Xenopus tropicalis: one gene and its partners. The protein of the gene in region 1 purifies or fractionates together with the protein of each later gene. This does not show direct contact. Links are inferred from orthologs where the notes say so. Each region holds a gene or a part of one and is shown in the gene's direction. Other genes may lie near its edges. The genes, in order: fam117b, dcaf7 and dyrk1a.

Region 1 (3,659 bases):
ATATATATATAATCTATCTGCTATTTCTAGAGAATGTCTGTTCAAATGTTACTCCATTTTAAACCACCAGTGTATTGAAGCAAAATGATTGCAACAAAATTTTTAAGTGGCACTGCAAGTGACATTGTGCTGCAGTAGCCTCAAAGGAGAAGTTGCCATTATATTTTAGTATGTTATAGAGTAAGCTTTTGTTGACAATCAAACCACTTTTTCTATTGCAGGTTTGAAATAGGCAAGCAAATAATTAATAATAAAATAAAAAAAAAAAAGGAACAGATAAAAAGTTGCCAAGATCAATGTCCCAGACTGGGAGGGTTACATTTTACTGTTACTCTTATGTTATATTGCTTAGCTTCTTTTTAGGCCCTGTTTTATTCATCTTCTGTTCTAATTTCCAGAATGATGCCTGGGTGCTCAGATAATTTAGCTCTAGCAACATTGTCTGAAAAAAAAAAAAAACTTTATAAACCACAAATAAATGTTCAATTATAACTTTACAGGATCTAGATGAATATACCTCACAGCTTTGGAACAGACTACAGAGAACTAGGGAAATACTCATATCTTCTACTGTTTTGGGGTTTATTTTGAGCTGGGATTTTAGAACCCTCAAATGAAACAGGCATATTTATAGTAATTTGTAAATGGCAATACTTTTAATGGCAAAGCATTTTTCATCCATTATTAACGTAAGGCATTTGTTTTGGCCTGCAGAGAATGGAAATCATTCCCCTCTTCCCAAGTATGCTACATCCCCAAAACCAAACAACAGTTACATGTTCAAGAGAGAACCGCCTGAGGGTTGTGAAAGGGTGAAAGTATTTGAGGAAGGCGCGTAAGTACAGTTTGGCGAACACTGTGTTGTCTTTGTTGTTTTGTTTTCTTCTTTAAAGATCCCAATCCTTAGCTGTGTGTGCTGTGTTTCTTATACAAGAAACAAACAAGGGTAGTAATAGGTTCACAATAGAAGGGAATTGTATATCTATAAAATAATGTTTGAAGTGCTTTCTCATTTATGCTACTAGATACTAAGTTATGTAGTAACTTAAATACTTGTGAATATAAGACTAAAAACTAATTATATATGATACAGAACTATATCTACCCATTGCAACCACATTCCTACAAATTATGTATTGTGTGGCACACCAGTGCTTTGCTCCACTGGCAAAGAAGCTCCTGTCATCACTTGGCCTGCCTGCCAAAGACTTGAACCTGACACAAGTAGATTTTGACCTGAAAATCTGCACATTTTCTGCTCACACTTGCCTGTCACTTCTGGTTGCTATTCACTACAATGGCTGGTAGCCTGAGCAGTAACTGCCAGTGGAGTACCCACCTACTGTGGCATTGGCCTTAGAAATGGTGGCTTCATTATACAGAGCTGGTTATATTAAATGCAAGCCACATGTAGCTAGAGTTGGCAGCTGACTCATCCATGTCAGGGCACAGCCTGTAAATTTTACTCAGCTCTCAGGACCTGGCAGCCAGTGCACATTTCCAAGTTACACTCTGAACTGTTCATTGCCAACAACATTGCCAGAATGTGAATTAATCTGTGTAGGATTCAAGGAATGAGATATAAATCCTTGAGGATTAGTGCAAGTTTACATTATTTAAAGAATAAACAGATTTTCATTTTGCATCTATGCATCTAATATATGCTAGTAGGCGAGCACAGTAACTTTGCAGAGAACCATAAGACTCCGTTATTTACAGGGATCTACAAATTTCAGTGGACACCAGTTTCTCTGTTGGCCCTCTTCCCCCCCCCCCCCCCACTTACCAGAAACATTAATGTGCCTTTCCCTCATCTGACATCAAAACTAGAAAAGGCCATTCATTTTTCCTTCTGTTCCATTTGGTGGCATTTTTTTAGACAGAAAACTCTGTCTGTCTTTGTGTGAACTCAAAATTCCACTATAAAGCCAGAAATGGGCACATACTTTGAGGCCACTGGGAGCAACATCAAAGGGGGTGGTGAGCAGCATGTTACTCACGAGCCACTGGTTGGTGATCACTGCTCTAGGGCAGTGCTGTCCAACTTCTGTGGTGCCGAGGGCCGGATTTTCTCTAGCATACATGGTGGAGGGCCGCTAATGGAAGCCAGTTTTGACCACTCCCCCTTTTTAAACTACACCCACTTCAAACCACACCTATTTTATCACAATGGTGGTAGCACAGCAAAATCCCAAATGCTAGGTGCTTACAGCGAGGATGTCAACCGTCATTCATATGTGAAAGAATTATATTATGTCATATTAAGATATACCCTTAAATCCATATGCCTCCTCCTCCCCTGTGGATAGCACAGCAACCCCCAGCACATAGTTACACACCTTAGGGATCATTTAATGGCTATTTCCAACTGCTAACAAACCCACAACAAACCCCTGCCAGGTTCACCTCCCACAGGCAGCATAGGGCAGGCAGAGTATGGCACACACAGGCAGCACTCTGCCTGCCCTATGCTGCCTGTGTGTGCGCCATACTCTGCCTACCCTATGCTGCCTGTGTGTGCCATACTCTGCCTGCCCTACCCAGCCTGTGTGTGCCATACTCTGCCTGTCCTATGTTGCCTGTGTGTGCCATACTCTGCCTGCCCTACCCTGCCTGTGTGTGCCATACTCTGCCTGTCCTATGATGCCTGTGTGTGCCATACTCTGCCTGTGTGTGCCATACTCTGCCTGTGTGTGCCATACTCTGCCTGTGTGTGCCATACTCTGCCTGTGTGTGCCATACTCTGCCTGTGTGTGCCATACTCTGCCTGTGTGTGCCATACTCTGCCTGTGTGTGCCATACTCTGCCTGTGTGTGCCATACTCTGCCTGTGTGTGCCATACTCTGCCTGCCCTAACCTGCCTGTGTGTGCCATACTCTGCCTGGACTATCCGTTTGTGCCATACCCTCCCTGCCCTATGCTATGTTCCATAATCTGCCTACTCTGTGCTCCCTGTGTGTGCCATACATAGTCCAGGCAGTACCTAGAATGTCTGAGGTGTGAACGGGGGAACAATGTGTGTGATTACAGCCTGAGCCTGAGGTGTGAACTCTACAGGGGGTGAACAATGCAGGGATTAAAAGGTGTGAACAACACAGGGGATTACATGTTTAAACAATACAGCCGGATTACAGCCTGAATCTGAGGTGAGAACCATGCAGGGGGGGAAGTTAATCACAGTACTGATACCATTTAAAGCTTACACAAAGGTAAACCATCAAAACAGCCAGACAGGTGGGGGGCCACACAGAGGGGAGTCGAGGGCCGCCAGTTGGACAGCACTGCTCTAGGGTATTAGGGTGGGATGCTGCTAAAGATGCTTTTAGGGTTTCCCTCAAGTCTGTCTCATTAGTATAGAAAGAGAATTGGAACTTGTAACCATCAACTTTTGTTTTTTTTTTTAAAAATCCAGAATAAGTAAGTGTATTTATGTAGCAATTTTTGTGTTTTGTTTCTTCAGGCCAAAGCCACTGCATGAAATTCCACCATTTTACTGTCCTGATAAGAACAAAGTGAATTTCATTCCAAAGAGCGGTTCTGCTTTTTGTCTGGTCAGCATTCTCAAGCCTCTTCTACCCAATCAGGAAATAACCTTCAAAGGCTCCACCCACAGTCTTACAGTGCCTTCTGGAATACCATCTTCTCTTGTTCAAAACCTC
Region 2 (2,441 bases), on another chromosome or scaffold:
CATCACCCAAACTAACACTGAGAGCAAGCCTCTGAGCTTATAAACCAACTTGATACAGTAACTCTATAACTTCTTTAAGCTGACCTTACTTAATATGCCCACCTCCAGGTGGGCGATTTCAGACTGATCCTAGGGCCAAACGATCAGATCATAAAAATGGGGATACAGGCCATTGGGATGGGATTTTTAAACCCCAGATTTCATCCAGATATTGGTTTGGTAGGCCCATTGGAGGGCCCTAAAATAAACAGGTGATAAGCTGCTGACTTGGGCTGAATGAGCAGCTAAAATCTGTCCTCTGGTCCATATGGTTATCTTTAGTTTTCATTTGCCTTTCGAGCAAACACATTTATGTACATGCATTGTACTCTCTTTTAGGTGGATATATAAACCAATTCAGTGCAGTTACTCTATACCTCTTACTTTTTAGAACACTCTCTTTAGTCTTCACCTAACCCCTAATACACGCTTCAATTGCCTCCCTAGCAAGCCGATATTAACTACATGCAGTGTTCAAGTGGACATATAAACCAGCTTGATAACAATATACTGTCCCTGTCTGGAACAAATCAGACCATCATATATCGGCCATTTCCCTCTTGTGCTAGGACTTTCTATTGTTTGTATTGTGGGTATAGGAATGTTCATTGGACTGCAGAATAACATTATTTTCTTTAACCTTCAGGAACCTCAAGTATTGATACAACATGCACAATCTGGGGTTTGGAGACTGGACAGGTCCTTGGCAGGGTTAATCTGGTGTCTGGACATGTGAAAACGCAGCTCATTGCCCATGACAAAGAGGTGAGAAGCCTTTGGTTTATCGGTAGGAAATGTGATATGGGAAGGTATGTACAGACTATCCCATGAGTGAGTTCCAGTCACACTTCTCTGAGGCTCTCTATAGTTTGCTGGGTTGCTTTGTGCTGCATGCCCATATTGTGGCTGCGGGGGGATTGCAGTTGTGGGTAAAGAGACACCTGACTTAACGGGTCTGGGTTGCTAGAGCCTTTAGATTTGTTCAGAGAGTAGTAATCGGTTTGAAGACCTTGTACAGGTCTAGGCCCAACCCATTGCTCTTGGGGTATCTGTAAGGGCAAGCACAGAGACGTGTTATTCAGGCCTTTACCGTGCTCCCTATTCCCAAGGGGGGTTGTTGGATGGTTAGTGCCTTTCTCTCAGCGGGAGGTGGTGGCACCTCCTTCTCCTTCATCTGCCTCTGCCGGAGAATTTAAAAAAAATGTGTGGTGTCGCCATCTTGTATAGCAGGAGAAAAGTCCAGATATATGGAGATTGTGATGCCATTGTATAGAATCGGGCCTTTGAGCCTTGCTACGCTCAGAGCTGCGACCCGTTCCCTAAAGTTGAGCAGTTTGAGTCGGAATGGTGGTCTTGGTGGTGCTCCCGGTGGGGGTGGCCTGGGAGGAACTTGATGGGCTCTTTTCACCACGAATAGTGAGGAGAATGTATCTGCTTCCACTACATCCTATAGCCATTTGCAAATAAATGCCTCTGGCTGCTGTCCCTCCACCCTTTCGGGAGCCCCACTATTCTGATCTTGCTCATCCTAAGTCTATTCTCCAGGTCTTTGTTTTGTCCATTAGTGCTTAGATTTGCTGTTACTGATGGCATGGTGTTGTGTATGGGGTTAATTGTATCCTCGGGAGACCTGAGTTTCCACAGCAGCAGTGCGGCCTCTCATGTATTAGAGGTCCGGGCGCAGGAGGGACAAGTTGATCTTAATCCCTTCTATTTGTGAGGTAGTGGCTGCTCTAGTTTCTTTTATAGCTTCCAATAAGTCCCCCATTGTGGGCTCGCTAGGCTCTTGGTTGGGAGGGGGGCCTGGTGGTTCTGGCGTTAATGTCTGGCAGAAGCTTTTGTCCAGCGGGAACCTGGCTGGGTGAGTGAGGGCGTAGCCTCTGATCTCATACATGGAAAATGTTTGCCCATGTTGGCTTTTAGTACTGCATTCCAGTGGTTGCTGGCAAACTGTGAGTGAGTAGTAAATGGAGTGTGGAGTGAAGAGAACTGCCAAAGAGATCAATCGATACACAGAGCTCTCACTTTATGCATCTGGTTTGGTCGCCATCTTGGACACACCCAAGTGGTGTCATTTTTACAGCACCAATTGGAGATGGGAATAAATTACATTAGAGCATTATTCAGGCAGCAAAAGATGGGGCATTAATAAATTAAACTAGGAAAGGTTCAGAGGAAGTCCTAAATGTCTTGTCATTGTTTTCCAGTGTACACGGTGATGGGTCCTGCAGGTTGTGCAGTTATAGTTACACAGGGTTGAAAAAATCCAAAGTCCGTCAAGTTCAACCCTTCCAACTGAACCCAGTGCAGTATGAATGAGTTAGGTTTTTTTAACCCATATGAATATAAAAGTATTTTCTTTCCCCTCCCCTGTGTGTGACAGGTCTATGACATTGCATTCA
Region 3 (3,659 bases), on another chromosome or scaffold:
CTATAAATCTAAAGGCTTTGTCTTGTATTTATATAGAACTAATGTTTTACAGTGAGGTTTCATGATTCACATGAGATCCGGACTGGCAATCTGTGGGTTCAGGCAAATGCCAGAGGGGCTGCTGTAAGGTGCCACAGACAGTCACTATTTATTGGGCTGGGGGGGCTGTTTGTGCCTCTGGGTACTGGGAATGCCAGGGGGGCTGTAAGGTGCCACAGACAGTCACTATTTATTGGGCTGGGGGGGCTGTTTGTGCCTCTGGGTACTGGGAATGCCAGAGGGGCTGCTGTAAGGTGTCACAGACAGTCACTATTTATTGGGCTGGGGGGGCTGTTTGTGCCTCTGGGTACTGGGAATGCCAGGGGGGCTGTAAGGTGTCACAGACAGTCACTATTTATTGGGCTGGGGGGGCTGTTTGTGCCTCTGGGTACTGGGAATGCCAGGGGGCTGTAAGGTGCCACAGACAGTCACTATTTATTGGGCTGGGGGGGCTGTTTGTGCCTCTGGGTACTGGGAATGCCAGGGGGGCTGTAAGGTGCCACAGACAGTCACTATTTATTGGGCTGGGGGGCTGTTTGTGCCTCTGGGTACTGGGAATGCCAGGGGGGCTGTAAGGTGCCACAGACAGTCACTATTTATTGGGCTGGGGGGCTGTTTGTGCCTCTGGGTACTGGGAATGCCAGGGGGGCTGTAAGGTGCCACAGACAGTCACTATTTATTGGGCTGGGGGGCTGTTTGGGCCTCTGTGTACTTGAAATGCCAGGGCCTATTAACCTGCCCTTATGCCTTCATAGCCGCCCTTCAGGACAAGTAGTAAATGCAGGCGTAAGTACACTCATCATTCATGGGTTGATTGACGGCCACCGTGCACAAGTTTTAGCTTGCATTTGACACAGGCCTTAAAGGGATTGTTCGACTTTATATTTACTATTACATAGACATTGATATTCTGAGAGAATTTGCAATTGGTTTTTAAAAATTTTTTTTTTTGTGGTTTTTCAGTTATTTAGCAGCTGTCTGGTTGCTAGGGTCTTCTTTACCTTGGCAACCAGGCCATGGTTTGAATGAGAGACTGGAATATGAATAGGAGAGGGCCAGAATATAAAGATAAGGAATAAAAAGTAACAATAATGATAAAATTGTAAGTGCACAGAGAATTAGTTTTTAGCTGCAGGGGTCTGTGAACCCCCCTCCCCCATTTGAAAGCTTAAAAGTTGCAGAAGAGGAAGGCAAATAATAATAAAAAAATAATAATAATAAAGACTAATTGCAAAGTTGCTAGGAGTAGGGAATTTTATGAAATACAAAAAGTGTGTATAGCTTAGACAGATGGCAACTATTGTTGCAGGTTGCATTAGTACAGATAGGTGACTTTATAATAACCCAGTGATGATTTGCTTTCTACGTTTTTGACGTCTTGATTTATATTTCTATCACACATATATTTATGTATCAGGTGGCTCGTCTGGTACAAGCAACAGTGGAAGAGCAAGGTCTGACCCTACTCATCAACATCGACACAGTGGTGGCCATTTCACAGCTGCTGTTCAGGCTATGGATTGTGAGACGCACAGTCCTCAGGTACCCTCAGAATGCCTGTTTTATTGCACTTTATTTTATTGTCAGAATATCAGGAAAACTGACAGTCACTCTAATTCAGTTTCGGTCCTGACACCGACATGGTTGGGTGCTGCATATAGTTGTATTAGATATCTCTCACATCGACGTTTCGGTCCTGGTCTGGGACCTTAATCAAGATGTTACACTTATATGTGTATTTTATTGTGTGTAACATCTTGATTAAGGTCCCACACCAGGACCGAAACGTCGATGTGATGTATAAACATGTGTTTTTAATACACGATTGATCTTTTTGGAATATAACTCTGTAGTGCTGGGCGGTATACCGGTATATACCGAACACCATTTTTTTAAAAAAAAAAATGATAAAAATTTTTAACTTACCGGCATACCGGTGTGGGCGCCTCCTGGCAATTTTTCTTACTATTTCCGGGTTGTGCGCGCTGACGTCACGCGCGCAACCCGGAAATAGTAAGAAAAATTGTCAGGAGGCTCTGTGAGCTGTCGGGGGTGCCTGCGGCTGCCTGGTCAGTAAGTTATATTTATGTGAAGGGGATGGGGGGGTGTTTGGGGTTTGGGGGGGGGGTGTTTGGGGTTGGGGGGGGTGTTTGGGGTTGGGGGGGTTGTTTGGGGTTGGGGGGGTGTTTGGGGTTGGGGGGGGGTGTTTGGGGTTGGGGGGGGTGTTTGGGGTGGTCACCTAATCATGCATGGGGAAAAAAAAATACCGTCAAATACCGTGATACCGATATAATAAAAAAAATACCGTGATATAAATTTTTGGTCATACCGCCCAGCACTATAACTCTGTGTTGCTGGTCTTTTTTGGATATATATATAGATATATATCCACTGTATACAGAAAGCACTCACGGCCTTAATGTCCAAAAAAATGAAGAAATTTTATTTCAACATGCTATCTACATATTTCAATCCACAGAGGATCATCATCAGGATGACGATCTTCTGTGGATTGAAACGCGTAGATAGCATGTTGAAATAAAATTTCAATTTTTTGGACATTAAGGCCGTGAGTGCTTTCTGTATACAGTGGATGCATCTCTTGGGTTAGCACCCGGCTATTGCCTTTGGACTGGTGAGTGCCAATACTTGCAGTGCTATATAAATATATATATATATAATTTTTTTTCCATAAGTTTTTCTTTATTGAGTTTTAAGTTTACACAACACATAACAAGAAGAACGCAAGAGAGAGTTTAAAGTGAGAATTAAAAGAGAAGAAGAAAGAGATACGAATAACCAGGGCTTTCCTACACTACACCCAGTTACTGATACTTCTCACATCTCTGCCAGCCATTTGTCACAAATTTTCCTGATTTTCCTGGCCAGTCTGAGGCTATGTTTGTAAGCTTCTGGCTGGAGAGACATTTACAAGCTGCTTGTAGGACTGTGTTGGGGTCTCCGCTGCTTCCCAGCTCATCAGAATGGCTTTTTTAGCATAGTGCAGAAGCTGTAGGAGGCAAAGTCTGTCACTGGAATTCAGCGTTATCCTCTCTGTATGGCCCAGTAAGCAGAGTGTGGGGGTCTGTATGTTCAATAGGCCTAGAGAAGAGTCCATAGTCCCAAGTATCTCAGTCCAAAAAGCATTATATTTTGGGACAGTCCCAGAATACATACATCACCGGCTAGAATGTAAATCGCTGGTGGGATGGCATACGCGTTGCTGCAATGTCCAGCAGTCGGCCGAAGTTTCCTCTCAAGGCAACTATGGGCGACTGCGAGACATCGTAGCAACGAGTATGCCACCCCACGGGCGATTTACATTCTAGCCGGTGAGATGGCATGGCAGGGAGATTAGTTGCCCACGACAACAAAGATTTGTCATGGGGCAACTAATCTCCCCGTGTACCCCTGCCCTTAAGCTTTATATATATTTCCAATATATTTTATTGTAAATTAGAAAGCACAGAGGGCATTTACAAACCGGATTGACATCTAGGTACTAAGTCTAGTGACGGGCGAAATTCGTCAGGCATGGATTTGCAGTGAATTTCCATGTTTCGCCATTGGAGGATTATTTTGCAAAACAGGCGACAAAATTCACTGCGTAAAAATTCTGT

What was found.
Region 2: the proteins of fam117b (region 1) and dcaf7 purify together in Homo sapiens (affinity purification with mass spectrometry; 3 studies listed by BioGRID and IntAct, with this or other methods). This does not show direct contact. The link is inferred for Xenopus tropicalis from reciprocal best matches to the Homo sapiens genes FAM117B and DCAF7.
Region 3: the proteins of fam117b (region 1) and dyrk1a purify together in Homo sapiens (affinity purification with mass spectrometry; 8 studies listed by BioGRID and IntAct, counting the BioPlex papers as one, with this or other methods). This does not show direct contact. The link is inferred for Xenopus tropicalis from reciprocal best matches to the Homo sapiens genes FAM117B and DYRK1A.

The regions. Positions count from the first base shown.
Region 1 is NC_030685.2:52,494,870-52,498,528, forward strand, and holds part of fam117b (protein FAM117B), read left to right. Parts: intron 1-714; coding exon 715-835; intron 836-3,460; coding exon 3,461-3,659.
Region 2 is NC_030686.2:16,434,843-16,437,283, reverse strand, and holds part of dcaf7 (DDB1- and CUL4-associated factor 7), read left to right. Parts: intron 1-685; coding exon 686-804; intron 805-2,422; coding exon 2,423-2,441. UniProt on the Homo sapiens protein: Involved in craniofacial development. Acts upstream of the EDN1 pathway and is required for formation of the upper jaw equivalent, the palatoquadrate. The activity required for EDN1 pathway function differs between the first and second arches.
Region 3 is NC_030678.2:12,497,505-12,501,163, reverse strand, and holds part of dyrk1a (dual specificity tyrosine-phosphorylation-regulated kinase 1A), read left to right. Parts: intron 1-1,456; coding exon 1,457-1,581; intron 1,582-3,659. UniProt on the Homo sapiens protein: Dual-specificity kinase which possesses both serine/threonine and tyrosine kinase activities. Exhibits a substrate preference for proline at position P+1 and arginine at position P-3.